3 linked regions of the Ovis aries genome follow. Each later gene encodes a partner of the first gene's protein in a complex. Links are inferred from orthologs where the notes say so. Each region holds a gene or a part of one and is shown in the gene's direction. Other genes may lie near its edges. The genes, in order: NCAPD3, NCAPH2 and NCAPG2.

Region 1 (3,980 bases):
TTTTTATTCTTCTGAAGATCGTCGTCAGATTCGAAATGTCCTCTTTCAAGTTTTGAAGAACTTTATAAGGCTTCTTTCTAAATTCTCCTTAAAGGAAAAGCCAGAGTGTATACAGAATTGTGTGGAGGTAAGTGAGAATGCCAGGGACCTTGGGCAAGTTCAAAGAGAGTGGGAAAAATCAGGCCTTTTCTTGGTGTCTGTTTTCCAGGTCTTTGTTGCGTTAACTAGTTTTGAACCAGTTCGTTACGAGTTCCAGGTTACACAAGCCAGGTGAGCAATTAAATCCCCCGGTGCTAACGTTTAATTATGGTGAGATGTTTCGCTGCAGCAGAGGTGTGAATGTCATTCTATCCTGATTGGCACACAGGTAGAATTCATTCATTTAAATAAGGCTGATAGGGTTAGGAGTTTATCCTAGTGAAATCACATCCATTAACTAATCTTTTGCCTTTTTTTTTAGAGTTCTCAGAGAAATGAAGTATATACCAGAACTGGCCTACCATGGACTGTATCTGCTTTGTTCCCCTCTTCACAGAGAAGGAGACACGGTAAAGGAGACAGGAGCTGAGTTACAGGGAATTGAAAGCACACGGGTCGTGTGACTAGAAGTGCTGCAAGGACTCAGTGCGATGCTGTGTGAACTCGCTGGGTCGTTGGTGTCTGTGATGAGAAGCGCCCGTCAGCACGTGGTGGCCGCTGCTCGCTACAGGCTCATACCCAGGCCCCTGGTGCCGCAGGACACTCTTGTTGAGCTCAGGCATAAAGCAGGCCCCAGCGGGGCCTGCAGAGGCGCAGGAAAGCTGCTGGGCAGGGCTGCCGCTCGAGCGCTCACCAGAGCCCTCTGGGGGGCAGACAGCCACAGGCCTTGCAGCTCCCCCGCAGGCCCCGTGCCCCTGTGTTCCTGTTAGCGTCTGTGCTTTAGCAGATGATTCCAGAGTCCTCTGGGAGGACAGACAGCCATGGGGCCTTACAGCTCCCCCGCAGGCCCCTCTGCCCCTGTGTTCCTGTTAGCGTCTGTGCCTTAGTGGATGATTCTGCTGACACTCCTGGTCAGCATTCATATCTGGATTTGCCTGTGGTGACCTTCAGAGCCGCACAGCCCTAGACACTGGGGTCAGGGCTTTGTGAGCCCTGGGGTGTTACTGAACCTGAATGTCGTTAGTGCAGCAGGAGTCTGCAGAAAACATGGCAGACCAAGGCCCTTGCCTTCAGCGCCTGCAGTGCCCTGGTTTCCAGGGAGCGGGGTGAGGAGGCCCTGGGCACGTGGGCTCCGCACTTGGGTCCTACGCCTCACTGCTGTGTGTCTCCCTTTAAAAAGAAAAAACATTCCAACTTATTTTTGGCTGTGCTGGGTCTTTGCGGCTGCGAGCAGGCTTTCTCTCAGTCGCCGTGAGTGGGGGCTGCTCTCTGATTGCGGTGCAGTGGCATCTCGTGGAGCACTGGCTTAGTTGCTCTGAGGCATGTGGGATCCTCCCAGACCAGGGGTTGACCCGGTGTCCCCTGCATTGGCAGAGGGATTCCTCACCACTGAGCCACAGAAGAAGCCCTGTGTGTCCTCCATGAGTCCTTGGTATCCTCACCTGGACAAGGAGGATGAGGGCCTTCCCTTCCTGTGGATTTCTCAGGAGGACTGCAGGGAAGAGTGCCTCGGCGTAATGCCTGCTGTTTAGAAAACACCCCATCCTTCTTTAATTTTTGATGTCATTATCTCTTCCCTGTGTCTGGAATATGTGATAGCATTTACAGTAAAACTTTTAATTTCTGTGCCCTTTTTAGCATTGTAGAGTAGAAAGTGCAGAGGATGGGAAATTACCCTTTCAGGTGGCAGTGTCTCTAAGGACAGGGTGTTTTTCATTGCAAAAGTGTTGGCCTGATGTTGGGTGACTGTGGTTGTAGCCTTATCTTTGATTACTTGACTTGGGACTGCTCATCTTCAAAGTCTTTTGGTATGTATAAAGTGGAGATAATAATAGTATCAAGTATAGAATGGAAATGTTTTGCTGACCTCATTGAGTTGAGAGATTTCAGAGTAAGTATGGTCAAATCTTGTAGTACAGAGACATGCTTAATGCAGTACCGGCCACATCCTTGGTTTCCAGTAATTATTTTATTCACTGGTTGCACAAGCTAACCCTTTGAGTAGATTCTGTGAGATGATATACGGGAAGGTGTTCTGTAAGCTTCAGCTGTAACATAGGTGGAGAATCATCCCCTTCCTCTTTCCTGTGGGGGGTAATCCGTTGCATTCTTCGGCCTTGCTCAGTTGCAGCTGATTCTCGAGCCCTGGTTTCTGGGCTGGAGTATAAGGCAAGCAGAGAAACTGGGTGGAATCCGGCTGATCAGTCTGTAGGCAGCACCTCCGCACTGTTCGTTTTGTGCAGGTATGACACCTGGTCGTTGTGCAGCAGGCGCACCCTTCGTGGTCCGCCAGAACCTGTGCCAACCTCCTTTACCTGCTGGCACTTGAAACAGCTCACTGGGGTCTGCGTCACAGTTGGCAAGGCCCTGGGATTCTCTGTCATGCCTTAAGCTGCATGTCCTTTCCTCTTCCAGGTTCTCAGATACGTTTTGCATCAAATGCTCTGCATAATACTGATGGTAGAAGTGGGCAAAGGCTCCCATCACACCCCGCTTGCCATCACGCCGCCGGTTGTCAGCAGTAGGAAGCTGGCCATCCAGTTTGTAAGGTAAAGGGCACATAGCTCGCGTCTCTCCGTCACTCGCCCTCAGTAGCCTGGGCCCTGTGCTAGCCGCGGCTTCTGACACCTGAGGAGCTGACACGTGTCTGGGCTGTGTGTGGCTTGTGGTTCAGGATAAAGCGCATAGCAGCCCATCTGGCTTGTGCGGTAGGGGTGGTGTAGGGGGTGCTGTTGGGCGTGCTGTAGGGGTGGTGTAGGGGATGGTGTTGCAGGTGCTGTAGGGGGTGGTGTAGCGGGTGGTGTTGGGGGTGTAGGGGGTGCTGTTGGGGGTGTAGGGGGTGCTGTAGGGGTGCTGTTGGGGGTGTAGGGGTGCTGTTGGGGTGGTGTAGGGGGTGCTGTAGGGGTGCTGTTGGGGGTGCTGTAGGGGTGGTGTAGGGGGTGCTGTTGGGCATGGTGTAGGGGGTGCTGTTAGGGGTGGTGTAGGGGGTGCTGTAGGGGTGCTGTTGGGGGTGCTGTAGGGGTGGTGTAGGGGGTGCTGTTGGGCATGGTGTAGGGGGTGCTGTTGGGGGTGGTGTTGGAGGTGCTGTTGGGGGTGGTGTTGGGGGTGCTGTAGGTGGTGGTGTGGCAGTGCTGTTGGGGGTGCTGTAGGGGGTGTTGTTGGGGGTGGTATAGGGGGTGCTGTAGGGGTGGTGTAGGGGGTGTTGTTGGGGGTGCTGTAGGGGTGGTGTAGGGGGTGATGTAGGGGTGCTGTTGGGGGTGGTGTTGGAGGTGCTGTTAGGGGTGCTGTAGGGGTGGTGTAGGGGTGCTGTTGGTGTAGGGGGTGCTGTTGGTGGTGTTGGAGGTGCTGTTGGGGGTGCTGTAGGGGGTGGTGTAGGGGTGCTGTTGGGGGTGGTGTAGGGGGTGCTGTTGGGGGTGTAGGGGGTGCTATAGGGGTGGTGTAGGCGGTGGTGTAGGGGTGCTGTTGGAGGTGCTGTTGGGGGTGGTGTAGGCGGTGCTATAGGGGTGGTATAGGGGGTGCTGTAGGGGTGCTGTTGGGGGTGGTGTAGGCGGTGCTGTAGGGGTGCTGTAGGGGTGCTGTTGGGGGTGGTGTAGGGGGTGGTGTGGCAGTGCTGTAGGGGGTGGTGTGGCAGTGCTGTTGGGGGTGGTGTAGGGGTGGTGTAGGGGGTGCTGTTGGGGGTGGTGAGGGGTTCGTGGCCTGTGGGCCCGCTGGTGAGGCCAGCTCTGAGTCCCGACTGCGGTCTCTGTGTCTGCTGCTCCAAGTCTGTCTCTGCCTTTCTGGCTCCTCTAAGTCTCTTTCCTTAGGTTCCTTGCCACTTTTTTTTTTTAACTTTTTTATCAATA
Region 2 (3,980 bases), on another chromosome or scaffold:
AAGGACTTCAGGGTGAACACGTGCACACCGCACCCCAGAGGCACATTCCTGCTGGAGCCGCTGGGCGTGTCCCTCATGGAGGCCCTGCAGCCGTGGAACCCGAAGGGTGAGGACCTGGGCAGGGACGAGGCGGGCTCGCGCCCACTGTTCGGGCCTGCCTGCTGGGCGGGGCCTCTGCCCACAGCTGGCTCAGCCCCAGAGGGCCCGCGGCCTGTGCTGGGCTGTGTTCCCTGTCCCCAGTTCTGGCCGCGTGGGGCCTAGGAGGGACCTTGTAGGGGGAGCAGGGCTGACCGTGTGCGATCCCTGCTCTCTCGCAGAGCCTGGAAGGGCCGAGGAGCAGCCCATGGAAGTCTCTGTGTGCGGGAGTCCCGGCCCGGCACTCAGCACCTCCCAGGAGCCAGGTGAGAAGCGAGCTCCCAGGCGGGCCTGCGGGGGGGCTGGGGAGGGCCTCTGCGCTCAGCACCCACCCTGTCCAGCGCTGCAGCCTGGGGGGCTAAGGCTCGGGGGCAGGCCTCCGTGCCCCGGGCCCACCTTGGCCAGCTGTGCTGTCTTGGTTCAGTGGCTGCCCCCAGACCAGCTTTCTCTCTGAGCAGACAGAGGCGGCAGCATTTGAAGAGGAAAATTACTAAAAACTAAAGTGAAGCAAACAGAGCAGCGGTGTGACGCGAGTGTGCCGTGCTGTTTGCTCCCCACAGGTGACGCTGCGGCAGGGACGGCACCTCATCCCCAGGCGCAGTCCCCGCTGCCTGGCCTTCTGGCTCCCGAGGCTGACTGTCTCGTGTCCCTGCCAGGCTCCTCTCCAGACGGCCCAGCGCCCAGAGGTGGGGGCGTGGGAGAGGACAGAGAGGATGCAGAAGGGGCAGCAGAGCCCCCTGAGGCCTCAGCACTTGAGGTCCCTATGGAGCCCCTGGAGCCCAGGAGCCCTGAGCAGGTGGGACCCCGAGGGAGGCCTGCTGAGCCCCCACCCTCAGCCAGGCGAGCCCCGGTGGGGACGGCGCGTGCGTGGGGCAGGCGGTCCCCTGGGCTGCCGGCTCTCTGGGCCTTGTGCGCCAGGGCAGTGGGTGTGTCCGCCAGCCGGCCCCAGCCCCACACCCTGCCCTTTCCAACAGCAGCTTTCACGGCTCCCTCTCTGAGCAGAGCAGCTGCTGCTCTTCAGGGGTGGACTGGTGCCCAGGGGCAGCACCCAGAATGGCACTGGTCTCCAGAGCCGACTCTCGAGGCCAGGCTGGCAGGAGTGGGCGGGCCTGTCAGGTTCGATTGGTTGTTTTTGCCTAATTGCTGTCACGTCCGACTCTCTGTGACCCCATGGACTGCAGCCTGCCAGGCTCCTCCATCTGTGGGATTCTCTGGGCAAGGATACTGGAGTGGGTCGCCATGCCCTCCTCCAGGGGATCTTGCCGACCCAGGGATGGAACCCAGGTCTCCCGCACTGCAGGCGGATTCTTCACCGTCTGTTTTTCTCTTTGAGGAAGTATCTCGCCGCCACTCGTCCAGTTCCTATCGCCTAAATCTTTATTAGCTTTTCACCTTCTCGTCGTTGAACTTCCTGCCCCCAGGGGCTTTCTGCAGGGCTCCCCATGTCTGGCCCCGGAGCAGAGCTGCTGGCGGCCTGGGATCCTGGGTGGAGGAGGAGAGGGGAATCCCAGGTTTTCCTTTGCAGAGTGCTGCCCAGCCCAGGAGGTGTGCACTCCGGGAGCGGAAGGAGGCCCCGGAGCCCGCATCCAGGCTGCAGGTGAGGGGCGGGCGGCCTGGAGCCCGGCGGGGGGTGGGGGGGGCGCCCTCGGCAGTGCGTCTCTTGAGCACTCTTCCTCCCCCAGCGCTGGGCCTCCCTGCTGCAGCTCCAGGGTGCCCCCTCCCTGAGCTCTCAACTAGGGGAGGGTGCGTGTCCTCCACCCTCCTGTGTCTGCTTGTGCTCAGGACACCCCAGACCCCTGGCAGGGCCTGGACCCCTTCGACTCTCCAGATTCTAAGCCCTTCAGGAAAGGTAACGCGGCGGGCATGGCCCCTGGGCACTGGGGGTGGGGGCTGGATTCACCCGGCTTGAGTGGAGGTTGGGGCTCCACGGCCTGTGGGCACGGAGATGGCCCTGGGCTGTGGCTGTGCTCCGGGACTGCCTGTCTGCCCCCAGGCAGGCCCTACTCTGTGCCCCCCCGCGTGGAAGAGGCGCCAGGACAGAAGCGTAAGAGGAAGGGTGCCGTCAAGCTGCAGGATTTCCACCAGTGGTACCTGGCCGCCTGTGCGTGGGGCCCAGGGTCGGGTGCGGCTGTGGGCCTCAGCTCGGCCCCTGCTGACCCGGGCTTCTTGCAGATGCTGACCACACAGACAGCAGGAGGTCCCGGCGAAAGGGCCCTTCCTTCGCAGGTGAGCCTGGGGCCTGGGGCTCTTTGAGGGAGGCTGACCCCACATTGCACCGCCCCCCTCAGCCTCGGGAGGCCGGAGGCCAAGTGGACTTGGGTGGGCCTGGGCAGGATGAGGGAGCCCCCTCATGAGGCTTGTGTGCGCAGACATGGAGGTTCTGTACTGGAAGCACGTGAAGGAGCAGCTGGAGACGCTCCGGAAGATGCAGAGGAGGGAGGCAAGTACCGGCCACCATGTGGACCCCGCGGGGCCTGGTGGGAGACAGCAGTGCCTCTGATGGGCTGTCTCTGCACAGGCGGCTGAGCGGTGGTTGCCGAGGGCTGAGCAGGGGCTGTGGCCTGTGGAGGAGGACCGCCTGGAGGACTCGGTGGAAGACCTGGGCGCCGCAGGTGGGGCCTCCAGGGGCAGGCCGGGGCAGGGCTCAGCGCCCACCGCAGCCTAACTCGCCTTGTGCCCGGGTGCTCCCTTCTCAGCAGATGACTTCCTGGAGCCTGAGGAGTACGCAGAGCCCGAAGGGGCAGAGCCCGGGGAAGAGGCAAACATGGGTAGGTCTGGGAGTGGGCTGCTGGCCTGAGGAGCCCTGAAGACGGGAGGGACAGACGCTCACGGCCGCACTTTTGCAGAAGCGGAAGCCATGCCAGCGTCTCTGCGCTATGAGGAGCTGGTCCAAAGGAACGTGGTAGGCCCAGGTCAGAGTGGGGGCAGCCGGGCGGGGCGGGGGCGGGCCCTGCACCCAGCTGCTGGCCCCGGTCCTCCCCCAGGAGCTCTTCGTCACCACCTCGAAGCAGGACGTCTTCGTGACCACCTCGAGGCAGGAGCTCGTCCAGGAGACGGAGCTGAAGCAGCACATCAGGGGCTGGGAGGAGGCCATCCAGACCCTGCTCCAGGAGCAGGTGAGGCGGGCTGGGCGGGCCCCTGGCGGAGGATGGCGTCCCCTGCCGCCTGCCTTGGGCCAGCCCGGGACCCTCCCTTCCCCTCCGCAGGAGGAGCATGTGCCCTTTGACATCCACACCTACGGGGACCAGGTGGTCTCCCGGTTCAGCCAGCTCAACCAGTGGTGTCCCTTCGCGAAGCTGGTGGCAGGCCAGCCTGCCTTCGAAGTGTGCCGCTCCATGCTGGCCTCCCTGCAGCTGGTGAGTGGCCCAGGCGTCTGGGAGGGAAGTGGCCCCGGCCTCTGCTAACGCTTGGCGTCCTACAGGCCAATGACTACACAGTGGAGATCACCCAGCAGCCGGGGCTGGAGGCAGCCGTGGACACCATGTCCCTGAGGCTGCTCACACGCCAGCGGGCCCACCAGCGCTTCCAGACCTACGCCGCCCCCTCCACGGCCCAGCCCTGAGCAGGGAGCCCACGCCCCACGGACCCTGGGTGTGCGTCTGCGCCGTCTGCTTCCTGGCTGGCCCAGCCTAATAAAGTGTTGCCATCCCACCAGTCCCTTAAAACAAACCCTTTACCGAACCGTCGTGTTTAGGGGAGAGGGTTGTCTGTCCCCTGCGCCCCAGGAGGCAGCCACCAGGCCCCCAGCCCCCCGCCCGCCAGGGCCTGCAGGGGCGGCCGATACAGATCTCACGCGCACACGGCTCCGTCACAGCCCTTTAATGGCCGGGCTCAGTGCAGGACAC
Region 3 (3,980 bases), on another chromosome or scaffold:
AGTCAAAGCTATCTATGGTTTTTCCAGTCGTCATGTATGGATGTGAGAGTTGGACCATAAAGAAAGCTGAGATACCATAAAGCGCTGAAAAACTGATGCTTTTGTGGTGTTGGAGAAGACTCTTGAGAGTCCCTTGGAGAGCAAGGAGATCCAACCAGTCCATCTTAAAGGAAATCAGTCCTGAATATTCATTGGAAGGACTGATGCTGAAGATGAAACTCCAGTCCTCTGGCCACTTAATGTGAAGAACTGACTCATTGGAAAAGACCCTGATGCTGGGAAAGATTGAAGGCAGGAGGAGACGGGGACGACAGAGGATGAGATGGTTAGATGGTTAGACTTCATGGCCATGAGTTTGAGCAAGCTCTGGGAGTTGGTGATGGACAGGGAGGCCTGGTGTGCTGCAGTCAACGGGGCTGCAAAGAGTTGGACCCGACTGAGCGACTGAACTGAACTGAACTGATTATAACTGGTAGTAGAAAAGAAATACAAATTTCCATCTGGATGTTGTCATTCTAAGGACATATAATGGCTAAAAGCAAAAGTTTCTGAGTTTATTCTTCTACTTCTTCCCATTGCTCTCTACTAAAATCTCTGCTTTCTGTTTGATGAAGTCTTTGGAACTCAGCATATCTTTGTAAAGGGAAAGTGGTGCCTTTCTCCGGGGACTTGGTGATAAGATTGCTATGCCTAATGGTAGACTGTGAAAACCAAAATCCAGATCGAAAGTTTGTTGTGTTAATTTGTTATTTTTGTCATTCACATAGTATTTTCTAAACCTTTAACAGTGTTACTGGTTTTAAATTTAGCCGTGAGTCGTTCCAAGTATTAAGAGCCTATTGAAAATCTGCCTTTGCGTCACGGCTGGTTTTGGTTTTCTGTACACCCTCTTTTGTTGCTCACTCAGTCATGTCTGAGTCTTTGTGACCGCGTGGACTGCAGCACGCCAGGCCTCCCTGTCCTTCACCATCTCCCAGAGCTTGCTCAGACTCATTTGAGTCAGTGATGCCATCCAGCCATCTCATCGTCTTGTACCCCCTTCTCTTCCTGCCTTCAATCTCTCCCAGCGTCAGGATCTTTTCCAATGAGTCAGTTCTTCACATCAGGTGGCCAAAGTATTGGAGCTTCAGCTTCGGCATCAGTCCTTCCAATGAATATTCACGAATGGTTTCCTTTAGGATTGACTGACTTGATCTCCTTGCAGTCCAAGGGACTCTCAAGAGTCTTCTCCAACACCACAGTTCGAAAGTATCAATTCTTCTGTGCTCAGCCTTCTTCACAGTCCAACTCTCGCATCCGTATATGACTACTGGGAAAACCGTGGCTTTGACTAGATGGACCTTTTTTGGCAAAGTAATGTCTCTGCTTTTTAATATACTGTCAAGGTTTGTCATAGCCTTTCTTCCAAGGAGCAAGCATCTTTTAATTTCATGGCTGACAAAGCGTGGTCCACTGAAGAAGGGAATGGTGATATTCTTGCCTGGAGAACCCGTGAACAGTGGTGAAAAGGCACCCTCTTTAGTTCGGGTCATTTGCTCCCTGTATCTTCTCCCATCCCATTTGAGGAGCACAGAAATCCCAGGACTCGGAATGAGTCATCCTTTGCACCTCGCGGTGGTGATGGGTGTGGGCTCCCACCCTGCACAAACGCGGAGGAGTCATAGAACCCTCAGGACGTAGCGGTGCTGCCGTCCCCTGCCGCCAAGCTTGGAAGGCGCATGCAGGCCTGCTGCTTGAGACCAAGCTGGAACCGCCCCTGGTCGAGGGGGGTGGGTCCCCTCAGACACCATACCGCAGCCTTGGGGGTTCTCCCTGCCCATCGTTTGCATTTCTACTGTAGGGCTGGAATTCTGAGACATGCTATTAAAGACAGTGCCATTCCCTTAATAGTCGAGCGATTCATTCTTTCACGGTGATTTTTGTCTTAGGCTCTGGACCAGACACTGTCGGTGAGCGATGCCGCGTCTATGGCAGGGCTGCTGGAGATCGTGGTGATTCTCTGGAGGAGCATTCACAGGAGCCTGGAGAATAACAAGGAGGCCCGAATGTACACTGTGGACAAGTTTGCCTCGGTGCTGCCGCAGTACATGCGAGTGTTCACGGTAAGACGGCCGCCCTGAGGAGCGGAGCAGCCCCCGTGCGCATGGCTGAGCCAGCTGCTGCCGGGACTCACGGCGCTCTCCCTGTGTGGTGGGGCTGGGCGGCCTCCAGCCTCCGTCCCAGCGCGTGTCCAGGTGGCTCTGGTCTTCCATTGCTAATGGCCTGCGACCCGGTTTTAGAATCTAGTTTGACGTGCTGGGAATTGAGAGAGAGGAGTCTGTGAACATCCAGGATGCACTGCCCCCTGGTGTGGGGGCCTCTGACGGCACCTGGTAAGCACCTGTTTCTGAAGCCTCTGAGTCGTGTCTGTGTTACTGGGGCAGATGGACCGTGTGTGTATCTTCTGCTTAAGTGAAGGAAACCCAAAGGCCATATTTCAGAACTAATGGAAATAAAACTGCTATGTAAAAGTGCAGGTTTATTTCCAATTACAAAGAAAGCGTGGCTTAAACATAGAGCGGTCACAGGTCTTAGGGATCACTCTTCTCTTGGGAAAGTTTACTTCTGGTTCTTATACAGCTGCTTGTGTGACCTTAGACCTTTTAGCTTTTGGAGCTGTATTTCTGTGACTGTTAGGTCTCCGAGATCCATTCAGCCCCTGAAACGCCCATGTGACCGGTCTGTGAAGGTGAAGGACGAAGGCTGCCCCGTCACTAGGACGTTTAAAGGGTCAGACAGCTTCACTAGGCTGAGCAGTAGATAGCACACGGAGGAGGTCGGGTCCTGGATGAGCTGACAGAAGAGCAGTGTGCCCTGGGAGTGTCTGGGAAAAGGCAGGCGGTCCATTAAGTGCTTCAGTCCCGAGCGATTCTGGCCAGAGAGCCTCTCTGCCCTCAGTCCATCTGAGAACCTTGTGGTCTTCCTGTCAGTGGGTAAACCGTCTGTGAGCCACGCTTAGAGCAGAACTGGGAGTAGCGATCAGCTGTCTGTTGTGACATTAAGAAAATATTTTGTGTATTGGAAGTTGAGGATGAGGGCGTGTTCACTCTGCCTGAATGCAGATTACTTACAGATGGAACTGTGAGTTTGCTCCTGTTTATTTTTCAGGAAAATTGTTGTTTCTCTTCCTTTTAGGACCCATCTTCTCTGGTTGTGTTGCCATCTGAGGGTATTTCTTCTTAGTGATCTGGGTGGCGTCTGGCCTGTCGGCCCTGTTACGGCAACAGGGATGGCTGTGGTGAGGTGGCTGCCGTGTGCAAAGTGGCTCTGGGGGCCTTCGTGCTTTCCTCACGGGTCCCTGCCAGCCCTGCCCAGAGAGCAGCCTTCTCCCTGCTGGTCCCTGCTGGCTGGGCTGTGGGCTCCACTGGGACTTGGGCTTGGCCAGGTAGCTCCGTTGCACTGCCCTGCCTTCCGAAGGTGTTCTGATTAAGAACTTTTCTGATTAGCTTCGTTTTCTTGAGTTTTACACTGAGGGCACACCAGGTACATAGGATTGTAATTTTTTTCTTTCATCAGTATTCTTTTTAGAATGCAAGTCAGTGCCTTCACAGCAAGGACTTTGGTCTGTTCTGGGCACTGCTGTGTCCCCAGGGTCTCCTGGTACACAGTGGGTGTTTAATAAGAACGACACATCACGGAAAGTAGGGAAGCATCCTGGGGAAGCCTGAGAAGACCCAGCACACCTGGAGCCTCGCAGAGCCCGGGTCCTGTTGTGTGCTGTCCCCACCCAGCGGCCCTGCAGTGGGTTCCTCGGGCGGAGGGCCCGTAGGCCGCACTGCTCACATTCCCCTCTGTGTCTTTCCCTGCCCCCAGGACGACCGCTGCAGGACCCCTCTGTGCGTGCTGGCGTCCCTGATGCCCGCCCCGGCTGTGCCCACCTTCAGGTGCCTGCTACCCGCCCTCTGGTCTCCCCAGCAATGCCCGCGTGGCCTGCAGGCAGG

What was found.
Region 2: the proteins of NCAPD3 (region 1) and NCAPH2 are in contact, whole or in part, in a cryo-EM structure (PDB 9F5W), measured with the Homo sapiens proteins. The link is inferred for Ovis aries from reciprocal best matches to the Homo sapiens genes NCAPD3 and NCAPH2. Residues at the interface, in NP_056076.1 of Homo sapiens: Arg589, Pro591, Met629, Glu680, Arg683, Tyr684, His690, Lys724, Glu793, Asp800, Gln803, Arg804, Arg807, Gln817, Leu820, Gln865, Leu866, Cys867, Pro868, Ala869, Arg870, Val871, Val918, Ile925, Lys929, Leu932, Gln933, His934, Ala956, Asn960; in NP_689512.2 of Homo sapiens: Trp22, Ser68, Lys69, Glu72, Tyr75, Tyr79, Leu82, Asp83, Ser86, Ile144, Ile145, Pro146, Leu147, Leu148, Met150, Ala151, Leu152, Val153, Asp156, Glu159, Asn161, Asn162, Asn163, Pro164, Leu165, Tyr166, Ser167, Arg168, Gly170, Leu173.
Region 3: the proteins of NCAPD3 (region 1) and NCAPG2 are in contact, whole or in part, in a cryo-EM structure (PDB 9F5W), measured with the Homo sapiens proteins. The link is inferred for Ovis aries from reciprocal best matches to the Homo sapiens genes NCAPD3 and NCAPG2. Residues at the interface, in NP_056076.1 of Homo sapiens: Glu1213, Lys1216, Ile1217, Pro1218, Leu1220, Gln1247, Ser1250, Glu1251, Tyr1254, Lys1258; in NP_001268861.1 of Homo sapiens: Phe291, Lys332, Pro333, Ile334, Trp336, Lys340, Ala341, Arg342, Arg347.

The regions. Positions count from the first base shown.
Region 1 is NC_056068.1:82,063,141-82,067,120, reverse strand, and holds part of NCAPD3 (condensin-2 complex subunit D3), read left to right. Parts: coding exon 1-127; intron 128-208; coding exon 209-270; intron 271-460; coding exon 461-548; intron 549-2,553; coding exon 2,554-2,687; intron 2,688-3,980.
Region 2 is NC_056056.1:225,743,027-225,747,006, forward strand, and holds the end of NCAPH2 (condensin-2 complex subunit H2), read left to right. Parts: coding exon 1-106; intron 107-317; coding exon 318-401; intron 402-695; coding exon 696-931; intron 932-1,660; coding exon 1,661-1,732; intron 1,733-1,917; coding exon 1,918-2,236; intron 2,237-2,307; coding exon 2,308-2,361; intron 2,362-2,504; coding exon 2,505-2,575; intron 2,576-2,653; coding exon 2,654-2,747; intron 2,748-2,831; coding exon 2,832-2,903; intron 2,904-2,981; coding exon 2,982-3,037; intron 3,038-3,119; coding exon 3,120-3,251; intron 3,252-3,341; coding exon 3,342-3,491; intron 3,492-3,556; coding exon 3,557-3,697; 3' UTR 3,698-3,789; downstream 3,790-3,980. Other genes in the region: protein SCO2 homolog, mitochondrial, read right to left, coding at 3,967-3,980. UniProt on the Homo sapiens protein: Regulatory subunit of the condensin-2 complex, a complex that seems to provide chromosomes with an additional level of organization and rigidity and in establishing mitotic chromosome architecture.
Region 3 is NC_056057.1:120,942,806-120,946,785, reverse strand, and holds part of NCAPG2 (condensin-2 complex subunit G2), read left to right. Parts: intron 1-1,928; coding exon 1,929-2,102; intron 2,103-3,852; coding exon 3,853-3,923; intron 3,924-3,980. UniProt on the Homo sapiens protein: Regulatory subunit of the condensin-2 complex, a complex which establishes mitotic chromosome architecture and is involved in physical rigidity of the chromatid axis.